Linked DNA regions of Caenorhabditis elegans. The protein of the gene in region 1 interacts with the protein of each later gene in a pairwise test. Each region holds a gene or a part of one and is shown on either strand. Other genes may lie near its edges.

The links.
Region 2: the proteins of C43E11.9 (region 1) and Y69H2.3 interact in a two-hybrid assay, tested with the Caenorhabditis elegans proteins (one large-scale study listed by BioGRID).
Region 3: the proteins of C43E11.9 (region 1) and mex-3 interact in a two-hybrid assay, tested with the Caenorhabditis elegans proteins (one large-scale study listed by BioGRID).

The regions. Positions count from the first base shown.
Region 1 is NC_003279.8:4,266,653-4,269,735, reverse strand, and holds C43E11.9 (60S ribosome subunit biogenesis protein NIP7 homolog), read left to right. Parts: upstream 1-1,768; coding exon 1,769-1,891; intron 1,892-1,940; coding exon 1,941-2,242; intron 2,243-2,288; coding exon 2,289-2,406; 3' UTR 2,407-2,537; downstream 2,538-3,083. Other genes in the region: cdc-6 (Cell division control protein), read left to right, coding at 1-668, 966-1,469; mus-81 (Crossover junction endonuclease MUS81), read right to left, coding at 2,562-2,954, 3,010-3,083.
Region 2 is NC_003283.11:18,662,424-18,666,179, reverse strand, and holds the start of Y69H2.3 (Follistatin-like domain-containing protein), read left to right. Parts: upstream 1-2,053; 5' UTR 2,054-2,083; coding exon 2,084-2,150; intron 2,151-2,192; coding exon 2,193-2,269; intron 2,270-2,318; coding exon 2,319-2,454; intron 2,455-3,368; coding exon 3,369-3,563; intron 3,564-3,629; coding exon 3,630-3,756.
Region 3 is NC_003279.8:125,208-128,963, reverse strand, and holds the start of mex-3 (K Homology domain-containing protein), read right to left. Parts: upstream 1,680-3,756; 5' UTR 1,668-1,679; coding exon 1,628-1,667; intron 1,580-1,627; coding exon 1,528-1,579; intron 268-1,527; coding exon 68-267; intron 20-67; coding exon 1-19.

The DNA.
Region 1 (3,083 bases):
CACGTACTCCGGAAAAACAGTCGAGGTCACGATCTGGATCTCAGGGAACACCAGAGAAAAAGTCGCGAAAAGAGAGCTCATCGGAATCTGACAGCGAAGAAATTATTTCAACATCTTCCGAAGGGGCTTTGAAAGGAAGACGTGAAGAATTTGATTCACTGAAATTATGGATTATGAAAAGTAAAGAAACGAATACTTCGTTGTCTATTTATGTCAGTGGACAACCTGGAACTGGAAAAACTGCGACCACAATGAGAGTTCTTAAATCATTGGGAAAATCAGTTCGAAGTTGTATTGTAAATTGCGCTTCAACAAATACCAAATCAGCACTATTCAAAACGATTTTCGAATCTTTGGATTTGGACGGAAAGCCGAATGAAGAAATTTTTGAGAAGCACGTGAAGCAATTCAAAACTCCTCTGGTACTGGTTCTCGATGAGATTGATCATCTCGCGAATCGAAAGAACGCTGCACTCTACGCAGCTTTTCAATGGCCAGAGACGTTGTCTCGAAAAATTATCATTCTTGGAATTGCAAATTCGATTGATTTGACAGAACGACTTCTTCCAAAATTGATGCTCGCGAAGCCACCGAAAAGACTCGTTTTTGAACCGTATACGAAAGATGACATCGTAGAAATTTTGAATGATAAAATGAAAAACGAGGAGGTAAGTTTAAATTTAAAGGATGAGTATCGGTTTTCGGCTTGTATAGACTCAAAATGTACCAAAAAAAACTAATTTTGTAGTGAGAATTTTCAAAAAAACAATTATGGTGGCTAAAAAATTTCGAAGAAAAAAGCTATTTTTAAATAAAATCACCAATTTCGCCCATTTTCTAAGAACTTTTCAGCAGTCTCATTATGAAATTCTTTCGTTTGCGCACATTTTGATTCTTTCCAAGCGAAAAACTCAGAGAACCGGTGCTCCTAAGTTCATTTAGTATTTTACATTTTATAATTTCAGACTTCAATTGACGCAAAGGCAATCGAGTTAACCGCTCGTAAAGTGGCTGCAATGAGCGGAGATCTTCGTACCGCACTCCACATCTTCAAACAACAAAAAAGTCGTATGATTCCTGATGATTCAAAAGTTCCTGGTACCCCAGTTAATGGATGTCGTGAAGTTCTTGGAATCATCAACAATGTCTATTCGTCTCCATTGGCTCGTGCTCGTCTTCCACTTCAACCTCGAATTCTTCTAGCTGTCTCTTTAACACTTTCTGCCAACAAGAAATGCACATTCGATCGGAATTCCCTGCTCCGTGCCTATTATAAAGCTTGCGAGGCTCTTCGAATGCCCGCTCTTGATGACGATGAACTTCATTCAGCGTTCCAGACTCTCGAATCTCAATCCTTCGTCCGTCAGTTAAACGGCGGAAAGCTAGTTCTTCAAGTTGATGCTCCGACGGCAAAATCGGCTATCAGTGACAACGCGATGCTTGATCAAATTGGACTCCTTCAATTTTAATCGCATCTCCTGTAACATAATTTATATCCACTTCTATTTATTGAAATATTGAAAAAGTTTTGAATTTCTTACTTTGGCATTTCCCTGTAAACTTTATCATTCCTCTCACTTCCTTTCAACGCGTTCTCTCTTCTGAATACCTGTCCCTTTACCTTCGGGTACACGTTCTGTGTAATTTATAAACGTTCTCCATATTTATTACAAAACTTTTTGCTCTGAATTTTGGTTTTATATTCCAAAATTTTTTATCTTTATTTTATTATGTCTATAATTATTCTACCCATTTCTTAATTATTCAGATGCGTCCACTGACAGAAGAAGAGACATCGCTTGTATTTGCCAAGTTGGCCTCGTTCATCGGAGACAATGTCTCGATGCTCATCGACAGAAATGATGGAGATTATTGCTTCAGAAATCACAAGGTATTAATTAATTGTTCTTTATCCAATAAAAACTCGATTTGTTCTTCAGGAACGTGTCTATTACTGTTCGGAAAATCTGATGCGTCAAGCCGCCTGCATTGCCCGTGAGCCACTTCTCTCTTTTGGAACTTGCTTGGGAAAGTTCACCAAAAGCAAAAAGTTCCATCTCCAAATCACCGCTCTCGACTATTTGGCGCCGTATGCCAAGTTCAAGGTGTGGCTGAAGCCGAACGCCGAGCAGCAATTCCTTTACGGAAACAACATTCTCAAGTCTGGAATCGCAAGAATGACCGACGGAACTCCAACTCATGCTGGAATCGTCGTATACTCGATGACCGATGTTCCATTGGGGTATGTTCACATTTAATATTCAAGTTAATTAAATATATTTCTCTAGATTCGGAGTGTCAGCGAAAGGAACATCAGACAGTAAGCGTGCCGATCCAACTGCTCTCGTCGTTCTACATCAATGCGATCTTGGAGAGTATCTCAGAAATGAGAGTCATCTCGCTTAATCGGATTTTGGTCTCCATTCAAAAATTTTAAATTCCACAATTTTTCATTTTTCATTGTTATTCTCTTGTTGATGTTGTTTTTGTTGGTCTTCCTTTCAAAATTTTTCATTCAATTATAAAAAATTCAATCTAATTCTGATTCATTCAGGATTCACTTATTGAACAAAAAATTTGAAAAGGTTACGAGTAATAGGCCTAGTTAGTTGAGGTAAAAGCTGAAGAAGTCGAATCGGTGCATCGTCTCCATTTGCACGAAAATATGAAAGCAGGGATACCATGGATGGAAATCGATCGGCAATTGCTTCGGCTCGATTCTGAGACATTCCCGGGCAAACCATCAGCTGTCGGACCCAAGCTTCTTTCACAGTTTCCGCCTTCTTTTTCTGGAGAAGATTCTGGAGTTGGCTGAATGGAACACCCGAAATTTCTTCTATGGCCGCTTTGTTCTGCAAACGAATCGTCACTTCCTTGAGAAATGCAGCTGTGTCTCGAGTATCAGAGCATCTTTGAATAAGATATCCTCCATTGGAAAGAGTTGATGCTACGGCCTGGAATTTTTGTTAGAATTTTGAAAAATCATCAGATTCTAATTCTATATTCTACCTGTTCGCAAGCAACATCTCCTTTATGTTGAGCTTCAATCAAATAAACTCGATTCTTCATCGGAGCCATATTCA
Region 2 (3,756 bases), on another chromosome or scaffold:
AGTGCTAAATTTGGCAAAAAATAGTCGATTTCAAACGAAAATTTTGTAGAAAAATTTAAAAATTCCTTCATAAAAATGGTTGAAATTAGAATTTTCCTATTCAAAAATGTCTGAAATTTCCAATTACCAATGTAAAAACGTCTGAAATTTTAATTTTCTAATTGCAAAATGTCAGAAATTTCAGTTTTTCTATTGAACTTTTCATTTCCTATAACCCGAAACATCCAAAAAACAATAAATTCTGCCAAAAACCGCCAAATTTTCAGTTTTTTTGCCGGTTTTTTCTCCAAAAGTAGTCCCAAAACCCCATTTTCTCGAAAATTTTACATTTTTCTCAAATTTTCTATCAGAAAATTCAATTTTCCCGCCAAACCCCCCTACAAATCCCAATCTCCACACATCATTTACAAAAAAAAACGTGTAAAAAATGTGTGGGAGATCAAAAAATAAAAGATTTGGCGGGTTGGGGGATTAACCCTTCAATTTCCGTTTTTTCTAGTCAACTCGCGCGTGTTCATTTAATCCAAAAATCCACTACAACTTTGTGAATTTCGTTAGATTTTCGTTTATTTTTTTGTTGGTTCGAAATATTGATTTTGTCTCGTCATTTAGTCGTATAATTTTAGTACTCAAGTGTAGTTTGTAGTTTGTAGTGAAACTGCCCATGCTGTCCCATTTCGGTTTGATCTACCCCCCAGATCTACAAGAATTGCGGGAATTTAGACGCAGAGTTCTCAAATGATTTTCAAAAACTTGCAGAAATTTCAAATTTCCTATACAAAAATATCTGAAAAACTGATTTTCCTGTAGAAAAACGTCTGAAAAATCGATTTTTATATGTAAAAAATTTCTGAAATTTCGAATTTCCTATATAAAAATCTCTAAACATTTCACATTTCTTATGTAAAAATGTTTGAAAAAGTGATATTCCAGTAGAAAAATGGCAGAAATTTCAAATTTTCTATGTAAAAATGCATGAAATTTCAAACTGTTATGAAAAAATATCCTAAAAATATGATTTTCCAGTATAAAATGTCCTAAATTTCAAATTTTTTGTATAGAAATCTGAAATATTGAATTTCTCATGTGAAAATATCTGAAAAATTGATTTTCTAGCAGAAAATGCCGGAAATTTTGAATTTTTTAGTACAAAAACGTAAAAAATTTGAACTTCCTATATAAAAAATTCTTGAAGTTTCAGATTTCATGTTTAAAAATGTCTAGAAAATTGATTTTCCTGTAAAAAAAACGTTTGAACTTTCAAATTTTCTATGTAAAAATGTCTAAAATTTCCATTTATTCATTTAAAAGTGGCCGAAATCCTGAATTTCACAGTTCAAAATACCGGAAAAATACATTTTTCAGTCGAAACATGTCTCAAATTTTGAATTTTTTTATATAAAAAATTTCTGAAAAAAGTGATTTTCCAGTAGAAAAATGGCAGAAATTCTGAATTTCCTATGTAAAAATTCCTGAAATTTCGAATTTTCAGTGTAAAAATATTTGAAATTTTGAGTTTCCTGTAAAATAATGTCTCAAAATTTGATTTGTCTATATAAAAAATGCCGTAAATTTCCAATTTCCTATGTAAAAATATCTGAAAAGTTGATTTTTCCTATGTAAAATTGTCTGAAATTCATAGATTTTTTCTATAATTTTTTTTTGGAAAAAACAGTTCAAACTACATATTTAAACTTGAAAACATATCAAAAAATATTTACTTTGAACAATAGTTTTTTCCCGAAAATTCCATGTTTTTTTGCAATATTTGCATATTGTTTTCAAGTTTTCTGTAACTTCGAATGTTGTTTTTCTTTAAACTCCCCATTTTTTCCCAGCAATTTCTGCAAAATTTCCAATCTTTTGACCCCAAAAATCATCAAAACACAGACATTTTTTTTTGTTTACTTTCTCCTTTTCTCTCTCAAAACATAATGTTTTCCGCACTTTTGATGTCTGATTTCTCGATTTTCTGGTTTTTTTATTATAATGTTTTTCCTGAAACTTTATGTTTTGGTTCGCATAAAAATGCTATAAAATGGCGTGATTTTATAGTTTTCCAGAGTTTCCGAGTTTCGGAGCGATGCAGTATATTGTGCTGCTCAGCGTTCTGCTCATCGGAGCAAACGCTCAACTTTCAGCGACAAGAGGTAAGTTTTTCCAACCTAAAAGTGTACCTAAACCCCTTTCAGACCAAGAATGCAAAGAAAACGAGAGCTTCCAGACGTGTGGCACGGCTTGCGAGCCGACTTGCGGGCTTCCGACTCCGGTGAGCAGATTTTGTTGTCAAATTCCGGCTTACAACGTGGTTTTTGCAGACTTTTTGCACACTGCAATGCGTCATGGGATGTCAGTGTAACAGTGGATTCTTCCGCAGAACTTCGGATAATCGTTGTGTTGAGCAGAAGGACTGCAATGTTGCGGCGAATGAGACGATTCCAATTCCACCACCAGGTTAGAAGGGGACACAGACTAAAATTTGGGCCGGGCTACGCAGTCTCGGAATCTGAAATTTTGGGTCCGCTAGTACATCAGAGTTTCCAGACAAGGCCCAATCTCTAAGGCCGCACTGGCCCTACAGACAATGGCCCGGAGTTCGAAACGGGTATCTAGACCCAGAGCTTGGGGGTATCAGCCTCCTGACTTTGTGGGCGCCAAGCCCAGAGTTCAAGGGTCCCAGGCCCAGAGTTCGGGGGTACCTGCCCCAAATTTTGGGGATACCGAAAGACTAAATTTTGGGCCGGGCTGCACACGGAGTCCTGGAATCTGATGTTTTGGAGCGCGGGGTCCGCTTGAAAATCAGATCTTCCTGACAAGGCCCATTCTCTAAGGCATCTCAGGCCCTACAGACACTGGCCCGGAGTTCGAAACGGGTATCTAGACCCAGGTACCAGCCCCCAGAGTTCATGGATCTTAGGCCCAGAGTTCAGGGGTGCCAGGCCCAAAGTTCAGAGGTCCCCAGCCCAGAGTTCAGGGATACCAGCTCCACAGTTCAGGGTCCCCAGCCACAGAGTTCATGGGTTCCAGGCCCAGATTTCGTGGGTACCTGGCCCAGAGCTCGGGGACTGCCGGACCCAGAGTTAAAGAATACCAAGCCTTGAGCTCCACGGTAACAAGCCCAGAGCTCCACGGTACCGAGCCCAGATCGTGGGTACCAGTGCCAGACTTCAAGGGTAACAAGCCCAGAGTTAATGGGTCACAGGCCCAGAGTTCATGGGTACCAAGCTCAGAGCTTGGGGTACCGAGCCCAGATCGTGGGTACCAGCGCCAGACTTCAAGGGTGCCAAGCACAAACCTACCAGGCATCCTAAAGCCTCCAAACCAAGACCCCCGACCCCAAACCCCTCTAACCCCCCACCAATTTCCAGCCACCAACCTCACATGCCCAGTCAACGAGGTATCCAACGAGTGCCACAACCCATGCACCGAGAAGAAGTGCCCACAAAAGAATGCTCCACAGGTGAACTGCTTGATGGCCTGCCAAGTCGGATGCTCCTGCATGGACGGATTCGTCAGAAACAACCAAGGAGTGTGTGTCAAGGAGGCCGAGTGCCCAGCGATTGGTAAGTACTCTAAAAATTGGACGAAAAAATGCACCAGAATTGCGCCACCGCACTGCAACTTTCCAGGCTCTCAAACCTGCGGAACCAACGAGGAGCCCAACCAGTGTCACAACGCGTGCTTCGAGAAAAAGTGTCCGGTTAAGCCCCAGCCACTGGTAAACTGTATGGAGAAATGCGACATCGGATGTTCCTG
Region 3 (3,756 bases), 4.1 Mb from region 1:
AGTGCCTTAATTTTGCAGCCTGAAAATTTGTGGAAACTGTAGATTTGACTAAAAAGGCAATTTTTACCTTGACGACCAACAATCTCGGCGACATGCTCCGACGTCGGAACTTCCACGGACTCTGTGACATTTTGCACGCCTATCGACGTTCTGTAGTTGAGAAACTGCGCAATATCCTCCGGATCGCTGACTGGAGAGCACGAGGCAGTGTCCTCCTCGTAATACCAAGCCCCTGGCAATTTATAGGCGATTTGTTCTTCCTTCATTCTGAAAAATGGTTATGTTTGGGCGAAAATCGATTCAAAAATCGAAAAATAGAGGTTTTTCGGAATTTTTAAGGATATTTTCGATGAAAACCGCAGGTACCCATGTAGGAAGGGCAAATGGAGAAAAAGCGACAAAACGAGGCGCATATGATGAGAAAGACAGACGGGCAGCGGTACGCGCGCACAAATGGCAAAGCAGTACACGGACAAAGAGTGGGGCGGGTGGGTGACGACAGGCAACACCAACTGGTGTGTGTGTGTGAACGCGACAAAAATCCGAAAAATCCCGCCAAAAGAACCACCAAAAATTGAAAATTTTCGGCGCCGAAAAAATGAAAGAAAAAACAGAGAGAGTACGGTATCACTCATTTAACGTGTGTGAGATAGTGTGTAATTTTGGGCCGCCGTGTTCACGTACAATACGCGGAGGCGGGGCTTGGATATCGTAGTATTAAGTGGGAAATTAAATACAGTTTTTTTTTGTGTTTTTTCCAAGAAAAATGAAAAATCGAAAAAATTGTGTTTTCAGATATGAAAAATTGAAAATTTTTGTATATTTCAAAAAAATCGATTTTTCGAATGAATTACTTGAAATTTTGGTCATTTTTTAAGCAGTATAAACGAACAAATTTCGATTATTTTTGCAAAAAAAAACCGAAACTTTTTCCACAGCACCTTTGAAATTGACTCTGTTGAAAAAGGAAAAAAAATAGCGCATTTTTTCAAGTAATCTAGAAAAGAGGTTGCGATCAAGAACAAGGGTAATAAAAAGGAGGCAGGCGTGTAACAAAAAATTCGATCCTTTGAATTTTTGAGGAGGAAATCTTTTTTTAAAAAAGGAGAAAAAAATTTGGATTTTTAACTTTCTCACGAAAATTGAAGGGTGAGGCAAAAACTTAATTGCGGTTCGAGGTTGTTTCCAAGAAGACTTTTCCCCTCTTTTCCCTCTTTTCTCTCCCTATTCTCTTCTGTATGTTAAATATCCGACCCACTTAAAAAAAAGGAAGGCGAAATTTCGAGATATTCTGTTTGAATGGCAACACGTTTGCCGATTTTATACCAGTCATCCTTGAACATTCCGTCTATTCTCGCAAGGCCATTTGAGGCTTTTTTAGAAGCGGATTTTTAGAGATTTGGAGGATTTTCAGTGGGAACATTAATCAAAAAGTTCAAAAATCATCCGAAAATCACGAATTTTGAAAAGAAAATTGGATTTTTTTTCGTGTTTCTTAGACTGTTAGCTTATTTGCCGAAAACTCACGGTTTCCAAAATTCGGCGTCGTTCCACGTGTTATGCCCGTTTGAGAAGCCTTCTGGAAAAATTAAAAATTTCAAAAAAAAACTTCAAAAAAATTGCTCACCATTTCTCATAGAAAAAGGTCTAACGCTCACGACTGGCATTTTACCTGAAAATCTGCGATGTTTTGGGGTTAATAATTATGTGGTTGAAAAAAAAATTGATAAGCGGAGAAATTTGTCACCAAAAAAATATGGAATTAAAAAATTGCAATGGAAATCAGAGAGACAAAAATATACTACGGGTACACAAAATTATAAGAATGCGTATTGCGCAACATATTTGACGCACAAAATATCTCGTAGCGAAAAAACAGTAATTCTTTAAATGACTACTGTAGCGCTTGTGTCGATTTACGGGCTCGATTTACGAAATGAATTTTTTTGAATTGTCGTGTTTTCTTTTAATATTTTATCTGTTAATAAATAATTTAATTAAATCGGCATCAGTGCTACAAAAGTCATTTAAAGAGTTACTATAGTTTTCGCTACTAGATATTTTGCACGTCAAATATGTTGTGCAATACGCGTTTTGGGAAATTTGTATTCCTGTAATACAAAAACGACAAAAACGATCCGTCATAATCAGCGACCAAAGAAAAAAAGAAAAGACAGTGGGCTCCCAAAAGGGGGCGGGGACAGTTAGAGGTTCAGAGAAACCGATGGTGGGGGGCGGGTCTCTTTTGTTGTTGTCGTGCAACATTTTTCGTCCAGGGGAAGAAGAGTGAATAAGGAAGAAGAAATGCAAATTAAGGTGGTAGAAGGATGAGGATACGGTACTTTGGGACAGAAGAAACGAGAAAACAATGGAATTTAAAATGAGATTTTAGAAATGTGTAGATGTAAATGACATATTGAAACTGGTCATCTCGTTTTTTTTTGGCAACACTAGTTTCACTTTTAGGCCAATATTCAAGGGGCTACAGTACCCTTAAAGGTACATACTACTTCTCCCATAAAAAGCGGCGGAACGTCGAAAACAGGAGAGCGGTTGTTTTTTTGGAAATCCGATCTTCCGTATATTCCACGCCGAATCTGTTGGTGTCAACATTACAACAAAAACAATTTGTTTGCGTTTTATACGTTTTTTTTTTCGGTTTTTTTAGAGGCCCACCACGATTTACACAAAATTATGCACTCATAGTGCATCGACGAAAAGCAGTTTTTGAAGGGTTGTCGGTTTAAAATGTAATTTCCAAATAAGCAAGGTGCAGAGTGTCCAATAACTAGAAAATCTCGAAACTGTTTTTTTCCCGAAAAATCGCTAAATTTCATTTTAAAATTATCATGTTGAATCGATGAGAGCAGAATGTCGTGGAATTTCAAAATTTGGTTACAGAATGCGCCGTTATAAAGACAGATATTGGTCCTCTCATGGAAAAATCAAAAAAAAGTAATTTGAAAAAAATACCATCATGGTGCATCGAGAACAACTGAAATGAGAGTATTCGGCGGAAATTCCAAAGTTTCCAAAGAAGATTAAAGGTGCATGTAGGTCTCAAAAAACTTTTCCGAGAAGCAATTTTGAAATTTACTTCGAAAACGTTATAGTGCGTCGAGAATGAAACTATTTGGGTCTCGGAGTGATTTTTTTTCTGAAAATCGATAAAAACGTCATGGTGCATCGCAAAAATCGCTACCATTCTTACTCTAAAGTTATCGCCAAACAGCATTATGGTGCATCGAGAAGTTCGAAAATTCTGAAGACGTTAGAGTGAAGGGACACAAAATGAAAGACATTTGCATGTCCCACAATACGGTTAAAAAAATAAATATTAAAATTCAGCTTGAAATTTTCCACCATTAATTTTTCGAAAAGGCTCAAAATGTAACCCAAAATTATCATGGTGCATCGACAAGAACGGAACATCATGGTAAGCAGGCGCGGTTTCAGTGCCTACCTGAACCCTGCCTGCCTCCGCCGCGGATTGAGGCGAGCGGCGGTCGTCTTATTGTCAGGCAGACAAGCCTTTTACCGCCTATATGGAAACCCTACTTCTAAATACGATTTTATTGATTTTGGCGATTTTTATTTTCCCAACAAAAAATTAACCTTCAGTCAATAATCTGTATAATTTACCAACTGAATAATATGAAAACACATGGATCTCACCAAACTTTTTACTTTAAAAGTAAGGAATTCCTCAATTATTCCAAAAAAAAAACAACATGGTGCATGAACAAAAATCTAAAT